Linked DNA regions of Nothobranchius furzeri. Each later gene encodes a partner of the first gene's protein in a complex. Links are inferred from orthologs where the notes say so. Each region holds a gene or a part of one and is shown on either strand. Other genes may lie near its edges.

Evidence for each region.
Region 2: the proteins of ccnt1 (region 1) and cdk9 are in contact, whole or in part, in a crystal structure (PDB 3BLH), measured with the Homo sapiens proteins. The link is inferred for Nothobranchius furzeri from reciprocal best matches to the Homo sapiens genes CCNT1 and CDK9. Residues at the interface, in NP_001231.2 of Homo sapiens: Arg5, Lys6, Arg11, Trp12, Arg26, Ile72, Gln73, Phe78, Phe89, Leu90, Lys93, Val94, Pro98, Lys99, Lys100, Leu101, Val134, Glu137, Ile139, Leu141, Gln142, Thr143, Gly145, Phe146, Glu147, Leu148, Thr149; in NP_001252.1 of Homo sapiens: Val8, Glu9, Cys10, Pro11, Phe12, Cys13, Lys56, Glu57, Gly58, Phe59, Ile61, Leu64, Ile67, Lys68, Gln71, Leu72, Leu81, Ile82, Glu83, Ile84, Arg86, Ile99.

Annotation. Positions count from the first base shown.
Region 1 is NC_091755.1:57,565,196-57,572,219, forward strand, and holds the end of ccnt1 (cyclin-T1), read right to left. Parts: intron 6,431-7,024; coding exon 6,360-6,430; intron 6,263-6,359; coding exon 4,997-6,262; 3' UTR 3,044-4,996; downstream 1-3,043. Other genes in the region: kansl2 (KAT8 regulatory NSL complex subunit 2), read right to left, coding at 1,202-1,456, 2,801-2,859. UniProt on the Homo sapiens protein: Regulatory subunit of the cyclin-dependent kinase pair (CDK9/cyclin-T1) complex, also called positive transcription elongation factor B (P-TEFb), which facilitates the transition from abortive to productive elongation by phosphorylating the CTD (C-terminal domain) of the large subunit of RNA polymerase II (RNA Pol II).
Region 2 is NC_091742.1:88,947,343-88,955,512, reverse strand, and holds cdk9 (cyclin-dependent kinase 9), read left to right. Parts: upstream 1-3,192; 5' UTR 3,193-3,296; coding exon 3,297-3,337; intron 3,338-3,476; coding exon 3,477-3,590; intron 3,591-4,127; coding exon 4,128-4,209; intron 4,210-6,227; coding exon 6,228-6,318; intron 6,319-6,404; coding exon 6,405-6,571; intron 6,572-6,648; coding exon 6,649-6,820; intron 6,821-6,899; coding exon 6,900-7,414; 3' UTR 7,415-8,150; downstream 8,151-8,170. UniProt on the Homo sapiens protein: Protein kinase involved in the regulation of transcription.

The DNA.
Region 1 (7,024 bases):
TGCAGTGATCGGTCCTCTTTATTCAAATACTGGCCACTTCCCTGGGGACCCATGAGCCGAACCAGAAAGGGGGATGGGGACATAGGATCCGTATAACGGTGGCTAATTGCCACAAAGTATGTTTCATGGCTGTTTTCACAACACTTAACGTCCGGTGGAAAAAAGTCTAAAGGCTGAAGCCCCCCCCCCCACCCCCACCCGGCTCATGGGTCTTCCTAACAAAGACAAATTAATGCTATTTTCTAATCCGCTTTGCCTTACGTCCTGACTCACACATATATTGTACTTCAATTTAAACGAGAAAAAAAAGTGTTTCAACGATGTCTTTTGCGTACTTTGATATTAGCTTGTAAACATTTGTAATTAAAATGACTACAAATTACAAGTCACATATATGACACTGCACAATCTCTTCTCCCCAGCGTAGCTGCTACTTATCACATGTGGTTTTCTCCACTTTTAATACTACTCAGGTATTTGCCGGCTGGTGTCGAATTACAAAAACGGGCACCGCAGAGTTTATCAACAGACTTGGCAACGCCACGAGCTCTGATTATAAACAACGACTACGCTCCTCTTTGAGCATTGTGAAAGGAGAATAACCAATAACCCTTTAGCCTGCTGAGAAGCAGATCTGTTTCAATGTAGCCTTCCTTTCATTATGATTGAGACATTAGGTGTTTTTGTGATAATTTCATTGTAAAATGTTCATATAATGTACTATTAAACATTAATTCAATATCATAACAAGAAACCTTTCAGTGCATTGAAATTTTCTTACATTCCTAGTGATGATGCTAGGGTACATAACAAAACCATACCGAGACCTGCTACAGGAGGTGGTCGCCGAGTGGTTCCAAATAAACTCACTTATTTTTGGACAGATGCCAAGATTTATTATCTCTGAATCATAAAAACACATTCAAAGGGTTCAAAAATAGCTCATGATCACAACACACAAGCTTCTTCCTGTGTTTACGTTTGTAGCCACTCCCCAGACTATCTGACTACTCAGAAGACTGAACAGTCTCACTTGGTTTGTAGTGAGGTCTCATGTTTATTTTTTTCTGTACAAAAATAAACTGAAGCGCAGAAAAACCCCTGTAATGTAACAAAATCACAAAGAAATTTGGACCAAAGGAACCAAACTGCAGGTGTGAAAACAGCCTTAAAGTTGATGAATGTGTGAACTTCTGCCTACCCATCTTTCCTCTCTGCCTTTGGAGCTGCATTGGGGCAGCGCTTGCCGTTCTTGACAGAGACATAGCTGCACTGCTTGTATGGCGCATTCTTGTCTTCAAGAATGTGTTTAATACAGAACTCCAAACCTTCCAGACGTGGCTGAGAACACGGTCGTAGGGTGAAGGAACAGGCCTGGGGCTCCTGTGGACGAGTCTGGGCCACCCGGTTACGACTCGAAGGCAAGACGTGGATTCGTATCCTGTTCATTTCAAGCCTGAAAAGTATCCACAAAATCATTAACATGGATTTTTATATAAATACTTTAGGAGAAAATGGTTTAAGTAGACTCGGTCAAGGTAGAGTATTCCTTAGTTCAGGGACTCCAACCCTGGTCTTCAGGGGCACCATCCTACAGGTTTTATCTGTTTCTCTGCTCCAACACACCTAATTCAATAGATGAATTACCTGTTCAGCAGGTCATCAAGCCTATTGACCACCCACTGAATAAAAGCTGGTGTGTTGAAGTAGAGAAACCTCTAAAACGTGCCAGAAAGGGTCCCACAAGGACCAGGGTTGTACCCTACTGCTCCAGAAAGTTGAAGCAGCAAGTCAGCGAACACGTTCATGCAAAATGGTAAACAATCATTTGGTTCAAAATAAAATACTATATGTACATTTTTACTATTAAGCTGATATTTTTAGAGACAATTTATAATCAGTGGTGAATATTGATCATTTTCACACTGCCATTTTTCTATTGCTTGTAGAAAAAGGAACAGTCTAAATGTTGTCTTTTTATATTTAATTAAAAAATATGTGGACATCTTTTCTTTACAAGCCAAAAACATCACCGTATGTATTCTTCGATGACAATTTCAGATACATCCTTTGCAGACATGGTGTGAGGACATTTCAAGAGCATTTCTAAGGGAACATCGATGTTCATTATTCTATCTGTAATCTTCTAATAGATTATATTTATCTATGTTGGTCCACTTCTATTTCCACAAGGCCGCACGATATTGGGAAATTATGCCATAATATTGTTGACAGTAACAGTAGTGATACACCCACTGACTAATACGCGGATTGTTTCTGTGATTCTTTTGAAAACCTCTGCAAAACTGACAGTCTGTGACAAAATACAGTTTTTAAATCCCAAGTCCCTAACGCAAACAAATCTACAGCTACATTAGCTAAAGCTGGTAAACAACATAAAACAGTTTCATACTTACAGTAAACAAACACACGCGGCAATAGTTTCTCCACACTACTAACAATTTCTCTAATTTTGGACCAGACAAGAAGTATCGAGGTTCTACACAGAGCAGAAAACCGTCGCTGGTCTACCCAAACGAAAGGCCACGCTAACGACGAAAAGGACTTCAAAACATGTGGAAATAGGAGACTACAACGAGCTTAAACCCGCCTCTTCACTGCGTCACTCCAAATCCTGCAGTTAATGGGCCGCCATTTTTGTGTAGCTAGTGACAACGGCAGCTGACTGACAACTGGAATAATTCGAAGCGAGGGAATTAGCTTTTCTGATAGATGGCAACAGTCAGACATTCATCTTAGTGTTATTGAAATAATTTGACATTAAGATGTAAAACAATACCCGTTGTGTGAAGTAAAACTGCTCGCCCCTCTCGCGTCTGCTGTCCTCACAATAGACATGTAGCACAATGCTAACCTTCGTGCAGTTTCCTCAGCATGTCGGCAGCCCCGCCCACTCTAAGCTCTCATTGGTCAGGATGGGAGACACCCAGACGGTTTATTGGTTAATCCAACTGTCACTCATTTCGGAGGCAAACTTGTTGAGACGACACTGACGGGTGATTGTAAAACTTAAAACCAAAAATGTATTTAAAATATTTATTGACTTTTAGAATAAAGCAACCACATATCAAAAAGAACAGTGTTTACATATAACTTAATGAAAAAAACTTTTATTTCCAGACCTGAGTGTCAATAAAAACACCAAGACAAGAAGAAACATGAAACTTAAGACTATTGAAAATGTGATTTTTGCATTGTTAGGTTGCATGAGTGTCTTCTGTTTGTATATATATATATATATATATATATATATATATATATAGGTTTTTATAATAAAATGTGTTCCACGATTTTCCCCATAGCATGTTAATACTCAAGTTCAACGCTTTCTCCAAACCACATAGCTCATGTTTTAAAAAATGCATTTGAAATTCACTTTCCTTATTTACCCACTGTACAAATTAACACTTTGTCAATTACATTGCAGTCAAACCCACAAAGATAAATATTCAGTGCATTTAACCAATTCCCAGTTACAACAAAAAATTGAAGTAAAACATCTGCTGCTTGAGCAAAGAAATATTTCTTTTCCAGCATGTATTTCAAGGGAACAAAAATGTAGTTGCATGGCTGATTTGTTCTACTGCATTGCTGTAAACTGCCTTAACCACTTTATATGACAACATAAAAATAAGGTCAAAGCAGTAATACTACACAACCAAACCCATATAAAGCCCAATATGGATGAAATGTCCAGATGACAGCCGAATCTCCTACCAACAAATATAAAACCAAGCATCAAATTTAAACAATCACTAAGTGACTTCATGCTCAAGAACCTGTACCGGAGATATACCGACAGCCAGCATGCCATCTAGGATTTTACTAATTTACAGAACACATGCGAATTTAAGAACAGTGTGAAGATGGGTTACGAACAACCTAGTATATAAAAATAGAAGAAAATAAAAACATCAGAACATGAGACCAGAGAAGTTGTGTACCACCGGCTTTGACATTCCAGAAACCACATGATTATTTTTGATACTGTATTATTGTGCTGTTGCATACTGAACATTCATAGGTGATCGGAAAGCATAATAGATGTTTTTGACCCAGCTGTTTACAAACGAGCACTGTTGGGCAATCAGGAAAAAAATAAAAATAAAAAATGAAATCATAAATCAATCAATGCAGCCTCGTTTGCTCTGAAATTCTTAAAAACTAAAAGGTATTGTTTTTTTCTTGTAAGTCCTTCATAATAACCATATTGGGTGGATATGTTTGTACTTTTAGAACAAAAGTGTGTCCGCCATATGAAGTTAGTGTGTTTATTTACTAAGGAACAAAGTATGCATATTTTACAACCATTTAAAACAATGACTGCAACACCAAGTCTAAAGAGAGACGTACAAGTTCGCTTACGTCACCCCCCCCCCCCCTTTTTTGTTTGTAATTTTCAGTAACAAATGTAAAAAAAATGTTTAAAACATCTGACTATACAATCTTCATACATGGTACCCAAAAAATAAAAAATGCTGCAAACAAAAACAAACACTAGGTATGGAACCAGGTTGCTGTTAAACATGGCTTTGGAGATATGCGTTCTTAAACCAAAATTAATTTTAAAAGAACGTTTTTTAAAAACCACTCAATCAATAAATAACATACTATAAAACCATTACAAAAATAACTGGTAAAAGAACCTAAAAAGGTTTCTGATGGCAGTTTGGATTCCTTTAAAATTTCAACAGAACTCATTTCTTAACCTCAACCACATCGCATTGGAAGTTACAAAAAGAAAATATAAATATTTATATATATACAATTTCCGCTAAGTCTTTTTTTTTAATCCCACATTCGGCGAGGCTCTCAAACCTTGTTATTGCCCCACAAGTAAAAGGGGAAAGTCATTTTCAGCCTACCAACATGTTGGGTGTGTAGAAGACACAAAAAACTTATACAATGCTTTATGTAACAAAGAGGACGTTTGGGACTTCAAGTACAATGTACAGAACAACTCCTGATCAGAGGTCTATTTGGGTAAAGGTGGAAGTGGGGGAGGCGGTTCTGAAGGTAAGGGTGGGGGTCTGGAGTTGTTCCCTCTGGAGCCACCAGTGTACCGATAGTCACCATAATGAGATCTATATTCAAACATGGATGGCTGAGATGGTTGGACCCCCTGAGCGCTCAGCAATGAGTTTAGCATTTCAAAAGTGTCCTGGTACTCATTAGACTGGCCCCCGCTTGCTGAACCGTGTCCATTAGTATCTGTTTTGTCAGTTTTGGAGTGTGAATACGTCCCCTGGCTGTGGGAAAGGCTCAGAGAAGGCAGAATGTCCAATCCGTGAGCCAGAGTTTGCCCTGAGGAGGAAGACAGGGACGGTAACTGGTAGGGATTTCTAGAAGTCTTGCTGGCTTTGGCAGCTGGTTGGGAGCCTGCTACAGGGTCTTGGGAGTGTACCCGCTTTCTAGATGAGGAGGAGGAAGAGGACGAGCTCAGAACTTTTTTGCTGCTTCCCAGTGTTCCACTGGAAGCAGATGAATGTTTGTGTGAAGAAGAAACTGAAGCACTGCTAGAAGAGGAGGAATGGTGGTGAGGATGATGGTTGTGATGATGGTGATGATGGTATGCACGGTCCCTGTGCTTGTCCCTGCTACTCTTGCCCTCCTCTCCAGAACTCCCTCTTTGCTTCTCAGGCACTCGTATTTTTACTTTGATGTCTGGATCCTGACCTCGAGTGGCGTCACTGACTGCTCCGGTGTGTGGAAAACGCATTTTCAGATGCCTCTCCTTCTCCAAGGGAATTTTAAGAATAATGGGTGATGGGTTGGGCATGTCAGAGGAGGAAGAGGAACTGGACTGCTGGTGATGATGATGCTGTTGCTTCTCCTTTCTCTGCTGCTGGCCAATGAGAGCCTGGGCTGCGTTTGCATATTCCCTCTTCACACTGGCCTCCATGTTCTCAAGCTTTCTCTTCTGTGCTGCCAGGACATCAGCATTTTTGGCACGGTACTCACTCAGGGATACCTTTGCTGGGGTGTGCACTTCATGGTTGGGCTGCTGCTGCTGCTCAGTTCCAGCCTGACCCTTTCCACTCCACGTCTGAGCACTAATGGGCATAGCCCTGTCCTTGTCACTGATAGATGATGAAGAGGAGGTGGACGGTGGAGCTGAGAGGCTCAACAGGCCCGCTACAGTACTCTCTGATGAAGCCATAGAAATCATGTTGATCATGGTGTCCCTCTGGTCGCCATCTTCCTGAATCTTTGGCTTGACTTTGGGTGTCTGACCGCCAGCCTAAAATGCCAAAAAGTCAAAGATTAAAGTTCATTAAAATTTACAAATTGCAGAAAGACCAGATTGTATCAAGTGGGTGGGAAAATAAAACGTGTACCTTCCAGTTGCGAATGCGTTTCAGCCGACTGGGTGTTTTCTCCAGGATTTGAAGGAACTCGTGAGTAAGTTCTGCAAAAGATTTTAAAAATTAAGATAAACTCAAGTAGGGCTGGGCGATACGGCCTAAAATCAATATCATTATATATTGAGCATTTCACCTCGATAACGATAAATGGACAATAACTACAGGTGTGCGCAGAAACAAAAGTTGTCCACTAGATGGGGCTGTCACCTAGGGCTGAACGATCTATCGTTTTTTTTTTTTTGGGACCGAAATTGCGATTTCAAACAGCACGATCACATGATCGTCAAAGCTGGGGTTTTGGGGCGGTTTTGACTGATCCAGGATATGTTGTGTAACTTTTACATTCGGGGTTTCCCCCTGTGTTACAGCGACGGCAACAGCCAGCGCGGGGGAAGGGATACGGTGTAGGGTTGGGAATCGAGCATCGATTGGAACTGGGACCAACTGTTAGTTTTTCATGGAGTCGTTCAAAGTTTTTTACTTCAATTCCTAGTTTTCGATTCTTAGTATGCCGACCGGAAAAGGAAACCGCGGCCAATCTCCATGAAAAATAAACGTGATCTGCTAATTGTGATCAACGCTTTTCAGAGCTGATCACACCAGCTGTCTGTCTGCAGCACCAAGTCCCCCCTCCCCCA
Region 2 (8,170 bases), on another chromosome or scaffold:
ATGGAATGTGATGTATATCAGAACCTTTGTACCTGGAACAACTTGTGAGGTCTGGGTTTAAAAGAATTTTGGTCTGCTATAAACTAGAGAGTTGATTATTAATAAAACAACATCAGACACAATCTGTTGTGTCTACGAACCCTGATGGAGACCCCCGTTCAGATCTGGAATGTCAGGAAGTCTGGTGGACCTCAAGGCACCGAAGTTCGTAGAATAACCGCAGAACGACCAGATCAGTCTTGAGTTGTCTCCAGGTCACAACAGACATGAAGGTTGGTTGCGTCTAAGACGGATGGACTCTTAAGGAGTCGTGCGGCTGTGTCAGCTTTGCAGCGTGCAAACAGGTTTTGACTGGATGTTCAGTTCAGTTCTTTTTTTTTTCAAACATTTCACACGTATCATTACAAAATATAATTTCATTATTTGTTTGAAAAGGAGTAGGAAGAAGTATTATTTGTCCCTACCCCCAAGTTTTACCTCTTATTCATTTAATTTTCTTTCAGTCTTAAATTAAACAAACAACATATGAAAAAAATATATTAAAAAAATAAACAAAACAACATATGGTAAACAGAGAATGTGTAAGTTTGCAGATTCACCAGTTATGGAGAAAAAAAGAAAAACCAAACAAACCAAAAAACACCGAAAAAGAAGCACAACAGTATAATGAACTTATATAGATTATATAAGTATCCTGGATATTTATACATGATATAAGCTTCATATGCTAATTTGCTTGATCATTCTCAGGATCCAACAAAGCTGATAGCAAACAGCGTTATATGCTAGTACGTAGATTATCCATGCTACACCTGTGTTAGCTGGATAGAAAATAGTCTCCTACACCTATCTCCTGTGTTAGCTTCTGATAGAAAATAGACAATGAAACGCTCCTGGGTGGATACATCATCTGTCTGTCTCTGCTTTCCATGGAGGATGTAAAATATATTTGTAAATTTGAATTCATGATAACTAGGTTTCTGCTGTAAGGAGTAGGCAGGTGCCTGGTGTATTGCAAAATTCAGAAGCCGACATGCAGCGTTATGTTAAATGCACTGGGTTTTACCCTATTACATTTACATTTCATGGTTAAACAGTACATGTTAAAATCTAAGCTCAGCTCGGCAGTGACCTAAAATACATAAATATAATTTTACTTACTGAAAAAAATGAAGTGGAGACTCCTTGGACGCTCTATTAGTGCAATTAATGCCACAGCAAGTCATTTTGTCCAACAATTGCACAAAAAATATCCAAAACAGAAAAAACAAACAGAGACTCAAGATGCCGGAACAGTTTCCAGGCCAGACCGAGGCTCTACTGAGGCCTTTCCATGGAGCTAGCTCTGTGGTCACGTGGGTCTGATGCTCATTAATTATACAGAATTTTAGGCTTTTAACACACTTAAACAGAAGAGTGAGAAAAAAATTCACCCCCCTCAGAGTTGTCATGAGTGTAAACTAGATCATTTAAACCAAAAACATGTTTTGGTACCAGGCTGTAAACATGTTTATTTCTGCTATGAAATTGGTATTTTTAACATGGGAGTCAATGAGGATTTGCTCGCTTCTGACACCAGCCCCTAGTGGATGACGGTGGAACTGCAATTTTTGGTACTTCCGGTAGTCTGGGGATCAAATCCCACCCGGGCCCTCGTTTCTCCACCTTGCCACATTTAGAAAACTAGAAGTAAATACAAATAAAGACACTGGATATACGCTTTACGTTAGCATCCACCATCAGCGTCTCCTGGCTAGGACCTTCTGTCACATGACTGCAACTCTACTCGGCTTTCACACATACGTTTTGGAAAGACATCAGCAGTTTTGTTAATAAATTCTTGTTCGTTAACACCTAAATGTCGTCGTCGTCGTCTTCCTCCGCTTATCCGGGTCCGGGTCGCGGGGGCAGCATCCCAACTAGGGAGCTCCAGGCCGTCCTCTCCCCGGCCTTGTCCACCAGCTCCTCCGGCAGGACCCCAAGGCGTTCCCAGACCAGATTGGAGATGTAACCTCTCCAACGTGTCCTGGGTCGACCCGGGGACCTTCTGCCGGCAGGACATGCCCGAAACACCTCCCCGGGGAGGCGTCCAGGAGGCATCCTGACCAGATGCCCAAACCACCTCAACTGACTCCTTTCGATCCGGAGGAGCAGCGGTTCTACTCCGAGTCCCTCCCGAATGTCCGAGCTCCTCACCCTATCTCTAAGGCTGAGCCCGGCCACCCTACGGAGGAAACTCATTTCGGCCGCTTGTATCCGCGATCTCGTTCTTTTGGTCATTACCCAAAGCTCATGACCATAGGTGAGGATTGGGACGTAGATCGACCGGTAAATCGAGAGCCTGGCTTTCTGGCTCAGCTCCCTCTTCCCCACGACAGATCGGCTCAGCGTCCGCATCACTGCAGACGCCAAACCAATCCGCCTGTCGATCTCCCGATCCCTCCTACCCTCACTCGTGAACAAGACCCCCGAGATACTTAAACTCCTCCACTTGAGGTAGGACCTCTCCCCCGACCCGGAGTTGGCAAGCCACCCTTTCCCGGTCGAGAACCATGGTCTCAGATTTGGAGAATCAACCTAAATGTTTTCTTTATAATTCTAATTTGTTAATAAAACACCATATTATCTTTGTTTTGTAAAAAATGTGAAACTGCATAAAACCAACATCAGACTGACAAAAAATAGAACAGTTCTTACATGTGAAGCCATATCTGTTTGTATTAATGGGGACTTCGTCTGTATATTTCCTTAGTTGTTATCTAAATACATTCTTTGACTCAAAATATTTCTTGGTGTCTTTCAGTAAACTTCTTATATTTTATTTTGCCCTATTTCATCAACATCAAGAACTTTTGAGGGTCACCGTTTATCATTTGCTTATATTTTACATTTCCTTTAGAAATTCAAACATATTTTCTCCAAAAAGTGTTGATTTTTGGACTACAGGACTACAACCGCTAAGACTACGACCGCAAATTTGTTCTGACCAATTAAAATCAAACGTGATAACGTAACTTCCGTAAGCTTCATGTTCAGCCAATCAACTACTTTGACGTCATCGGCAGTCGAAGGACCCCGAGCCGGTTCTGCACCCGAGCAGATCCTGTACCGACACCGGGGCCTGTTTATTCGGGTGGAAAAAGTTGATTTGGGGGTGAGTTTTGGGTTTTGAACGTGTCCTTGGGGGACTTGTAGTTACATCTGCTGTCCAGTTGGTGGCAGAATATCCTCTGTGGTTTGTTTCCAACCCTCCATTAAACAGAAGAAGAAGAAGAAAGGCGAACGTCAACGCAGTCATGCAGCGGGAGAAAGCTAGCAGCGCTGGCGCGGCTGAAAAGTAAGATTTCCAACTACGAATTCGCTCATTTGTTATATATGTTTTATATTTAAGTTTTTGGGTATGTCTGTGTGGTGTGTCTTGGTTTTTCTGTCTATAAGTTTCCTGATATTCAGTCTAACCTCTTTGTCCCCACCAGGCCGGACCGCGAGGCCGCCATAATGTCCAAATATTACGACGGAGTGGAGTTTCCTTTCTGCGACGAGTTCTCCAAGTACGAGAAACTGGCCAAGATAGGACAGGGAACCTTCGGGTGAGACAGACGTGTTTGAGACGTTTCATTGTGCGGTAAAGTGAACGGGTCTGTGTTTGTGCTAGCGGTGCTAGCTGATGTAGCATCGGCCATGTTCTGGCTGTGTTGTGCACACAGAGGAGGGCTAGCTCTGTTTCAGGGTCTTTAGTTGCAGCAGGGACGGAAACTCAGTAAAGATCCAAAGAAAAACCATGATGGACCGTCAGGAAGACCTAATTCGGGGTGCCAACTGGCACTGGCGGGCCGGTATAAAGCATGTTTTAGCGGTTTCTCTGCTCCAACACGCTTTAGTGGTTAAATCACTGTACAGCAGCTCATCAGGCTCTGCAGAAGCCTGTTAATCACCCGCTGATTAAAATCAGGTGTGGTTAAAACTAAAACATGGGTACCCCTGCCTTAAGGGGTTACAGGTAACTGGATCAAGACTGTTACTGATCCTGATTTCTAATGTTTACTCTGAAATTAGGGTTTGCGCTTGTCAATAACATTTAAGTCCTTGTTCTAAAACAGGATAAACGTGTGTTTGTGTCTTTTCAGGGAGGTGTTCAAAGCCAAGCACCGGCAGACGCAGAAGAAGGTTGCTCTGAAGAAAGTCCTGATGGAAAATGAAAAGGAAGGGGTGAGAGACGAGAACCTGGTAGCTCATTTAGAGATGTTGAAAGACTTTACGTCAGTTATGATCTGAAGTGTGAAGCTGGCAATCATATGGGTCTGAACAGCTGGATGTTCCTGGGCCTCAGAGGCTCGAACTAGAGCTGATTTCTTCATCACCACCGGCTCTCACAGCATCCGCGTCCAAACCCGCCTCTCCATGTTAGCTACCTCAGTTGAACTCTCCATCTTCTAGCAGGTTAATGTGGTGCCCACAGTTTTGTCCTCAGTCGCTCGCCTTGCTGAGATTAGCATTGGGACCCGTGGGATACCAGTCCCATTGCAGGGCTCTAATTGGATCCCCACTCGAGTGCGCTAAAGCTTAGAACAAGTGAACAGGGTTTAACGTCCACCACAGTGGACCCACGTGGTCGGTATTGGTTGTGTTGTGTCTGGGCAGTACCTGATACTGGTACGGTCATGGGTGCATCCCTGATCCACGTCCCAGAGTGGCCCCTGCTCTCCTGCAGCCTGAAGAGAGCCTGAAACAAGACAGATCTGAGTTTCTGTTGCTGCTTGTTGTGGTTAAAATCACAGCTGAGATCAAATCAAAGATACTTTATTAATCCCAGAGGGAAATTAGAGTTTCAGTACACACAATTCAGAGATCAGACACACATGGGCAAGACACATGACAAGAATTGGTGACTGTGGTCATTCGCAACCCTGAGTCGCGCTACCTTAATAGAGATAAGAGGGTTACATGAGGATTGGTTCAGGTGGAGGGAAAAAAGGCACTTCAGAGCTACCCTCCACAGGGAGGGCAGCTTTGCTCTGCAAAAAAACACCTCAGACATATAAGCATGAACATCAACAGTCCACAACATGAGACTCCCAATAGGAAGGCGGGGTGGGGCTGGGATCCTTCTTCCCCCAGCGAGAGCAGCCATCAGATGGGCCATTCCCATCTGTACCGGGTCAGCCTGGGCCAGGTAGCCCCAGTCGGCCCCAGCCTGGCCCGGTTGATTCCACACACCCTTTCCTTAAGCCCATGTGGGCTGATTCTACCCACCAATCAGAGGCTTGCTCTAATGGAAGGTGTGAATTTGCTGTCAGCAGTGGGTGTGTTGGCCCTGGTCGGCCTGAAGCAGACCCCCTCGAGAAGAGGGCTGAGAATGAGCCTTGGTTGGCCCGGAAAAATACCAGGCCACCCAGATATGTAAACAACCTACGCTACCCGGCCCGGGCCGACCCGGTACAGATGGGAATGGCCCATAAGGCGCTCATCTACTGTACAGTCACAGGTGGGAGGGAGATCTTGGGAGGCGTGAAGAGCACATTGACTCCTCCAGCTGATGACCTCGCCAGGCTGAAGTCCACCAATTGGGGGGGGGGGGGGGGGGGGTTCACAGCATCTAAAGTTAAAGTCCCATTAGTTGTCACACACACAGGTGTGTGTGCGAAATTTATTCTCCGCATTTGACCCATCCCCTGCGGGAGCGGTGAGCTGCAGACAAGCCGCGCTCTGGAACTATTTGGTGGTTTAACCCCCCAATCCAACCCCTATGCTGAGTGTCAAGCAGGGAGGCATTGGGTCCCATTTTTTCAAAGTCTTTGGTATGACCCGTCCAGGAATCGAACCCCTGACCTCCCAATCATTTTGACTCTGGTGAAGCTGAAGAACACGTTAGAACTTCTCACTGGTTTGAAGGTGGTGGGGTGAATGCTGGAGAGCTCTTATCTGAGTTCAGGATAGAAATATGTGGTGCAGACATGACAGGAGTCTTTCACTGAGGCTCCTTCATTCAGTCTGGAGAACTTCAACAGCTGGGTAGATGTATTGATCACCACTGATGATCAGCTGTGTGAAGGTGGAGAACCATTTTCATGCACAGATGGAGACATGAGAGGGACGACACCGCTGTCTTAGATTACAGCTCACTTTGGTTAAAGTAATATGAACATAAACAAATGACCCGAGTCGTCTCATTAATATCACCGCGTGGACCGCATCTCCAGCATCGCTCAGTCTTCGTTTCGTTTCAGTTCCCCATCACAGCTCTGAGGGAGATCAAGATCCTGCAGCTGCTGAAACACGAGAACGTGGTGAACCTGATTGAGATCTGCAGAACCAAAGGTTAGTGGCTTCAGGCCGGATCTTCAGCTGCAGGAACCATCTGCTGCTGGAGCTGAAGGTGACACCCAGTGTTTTTGTTGTTGCAGCGACCCAGTTCAACCGGTACAAAGGCAGCATCTACCTGGTGTTCGACTTCTGCGAGCACGACCTGGCCGGGCTGCTGAGCAACGCTAATGTGAAATTCACGCTGGCAGAGATCAAGAAGGTGATGCAGATGCTGCTGAACGGGCTGTACTACATCCACAGGAACAAGGTGAGACCGATCAGAAGCAGAACATTAAAGACCCGGTCTCAAGTGGGCCCGGTCCTAAATCGTGTGTTCTGGTTCAGATTCTGCACCGAGACATGAAGGCCGCCAACGTGCTCATCACCAGAGACGGCGTCCTGAAGCTGGCGGACTTTGGCTTGGCTCGGGCCTTCAGCCTGGCTAAGAACAGTCAGGGGAACCGCTACACCAACCGGGTCGTCACGCTCTGGTACCGACCTCCGGAGCTGCTGCTGGGTATGAGCCTCTCTGGACTTCTGAAGGAACGTTCTGTAACAAAGAACCCTCTAACAGAACCTGGCTCTGTGTCCTTCAGGTGAGCGGGACTACGGACCCCCCATAGACCTGTGGGGAGCGGGTTGCATCATGGCGGAGATGTGGACCAGGAGTCCCATCATGCAGGGGAACACCGAGCAGCACCAGCTGACTCTCATCAGCCAGCTGTGCGGCTCCATCACAGCTGAGGTCTGGCCCACTGTGGACAAGAAGTATGAGCTGTACCAGAAGATGGAGCTGCCCAAAGGCCAGAAGAGGAAGGTGAAGGACCGCCTGAAGGCCTACGTTAAAGACGCGTGTGCTCTGGACCTCATCGACAAACTCCTGGTTCTGGACCCATCGCAGCGTATCGACAGCGACGACGCGCTCAACCATGACTTCTTCTGGTGTGACCCGATGCCATCGGACCTGAAGAACATGCTGTCCACTCACAACACCTCCATGTTTGAGTATCTGGCTCCGCCCAGACGGAGAGGCCATATGCCCCAGCAGCAGCCCAACCAGAACCGGAACCCGGCCACCACCAGCCAGACTGAGTTCGACCGAGTGTTCTAGTGCGGTACCGGCAAATGGGCCAACAGAACTTTTGTTTCCCCGGCGGGGAGAACATTCCCGTTTCCTGCTTTAGGCGTCCCGCTGGGCTCGCTGCTCGGTCTCGTTTGAGTGATGACCGTTCTGGTTCTACAGGAACAGCTTACTCTGACTGCACGTGGTTCTGACCCAAACTTTAGTTTTAAGTTTTTTTTGTGTTTGAATCAAAAACACAAATAAAAACCTTTTTTCTTCTTTGAATGAATCACGTGTTCCAGGACTAAATGGAGCCGGGACCTGCAGCAGGTTGGTGTCTTCGTCTCCATGGCAACAGATGTTCTAGTACCTTGAGTGGAGCAGCACTTCTCTATTGATGAGATAAAACGGACTGGTCTGCTGGTTCCTCAGACTGCAGCGGACTCGTCTGACCACCAGGTGTCAGCACCTGCCCTGAACATGGCGTCAGGATCACACACCCCGAGTCATTAACCTTTTTTACTTGAAATCAGGCAACATTTTAGTTGTCTGGTAGAAATAGTCTAATTATATAAATATGAGAGATCTGTTCGACATCTAAACTTTGCTTTTACGCATTTTCTTTTTTGCTTTTGTTTTACTTGCATTTTACATTTTTAAAATCTGTTAAGTGTTTCTGTTTGAATTTCGTGTATTTTATGTTTATTCACATTTTTATTGTAGAGCCTGTGAAACTGATTTCCCCTGAAACATTCTGATAATAAAGGAGACACTTCGGTTATAATTGTTCTATGGTCAAAATAA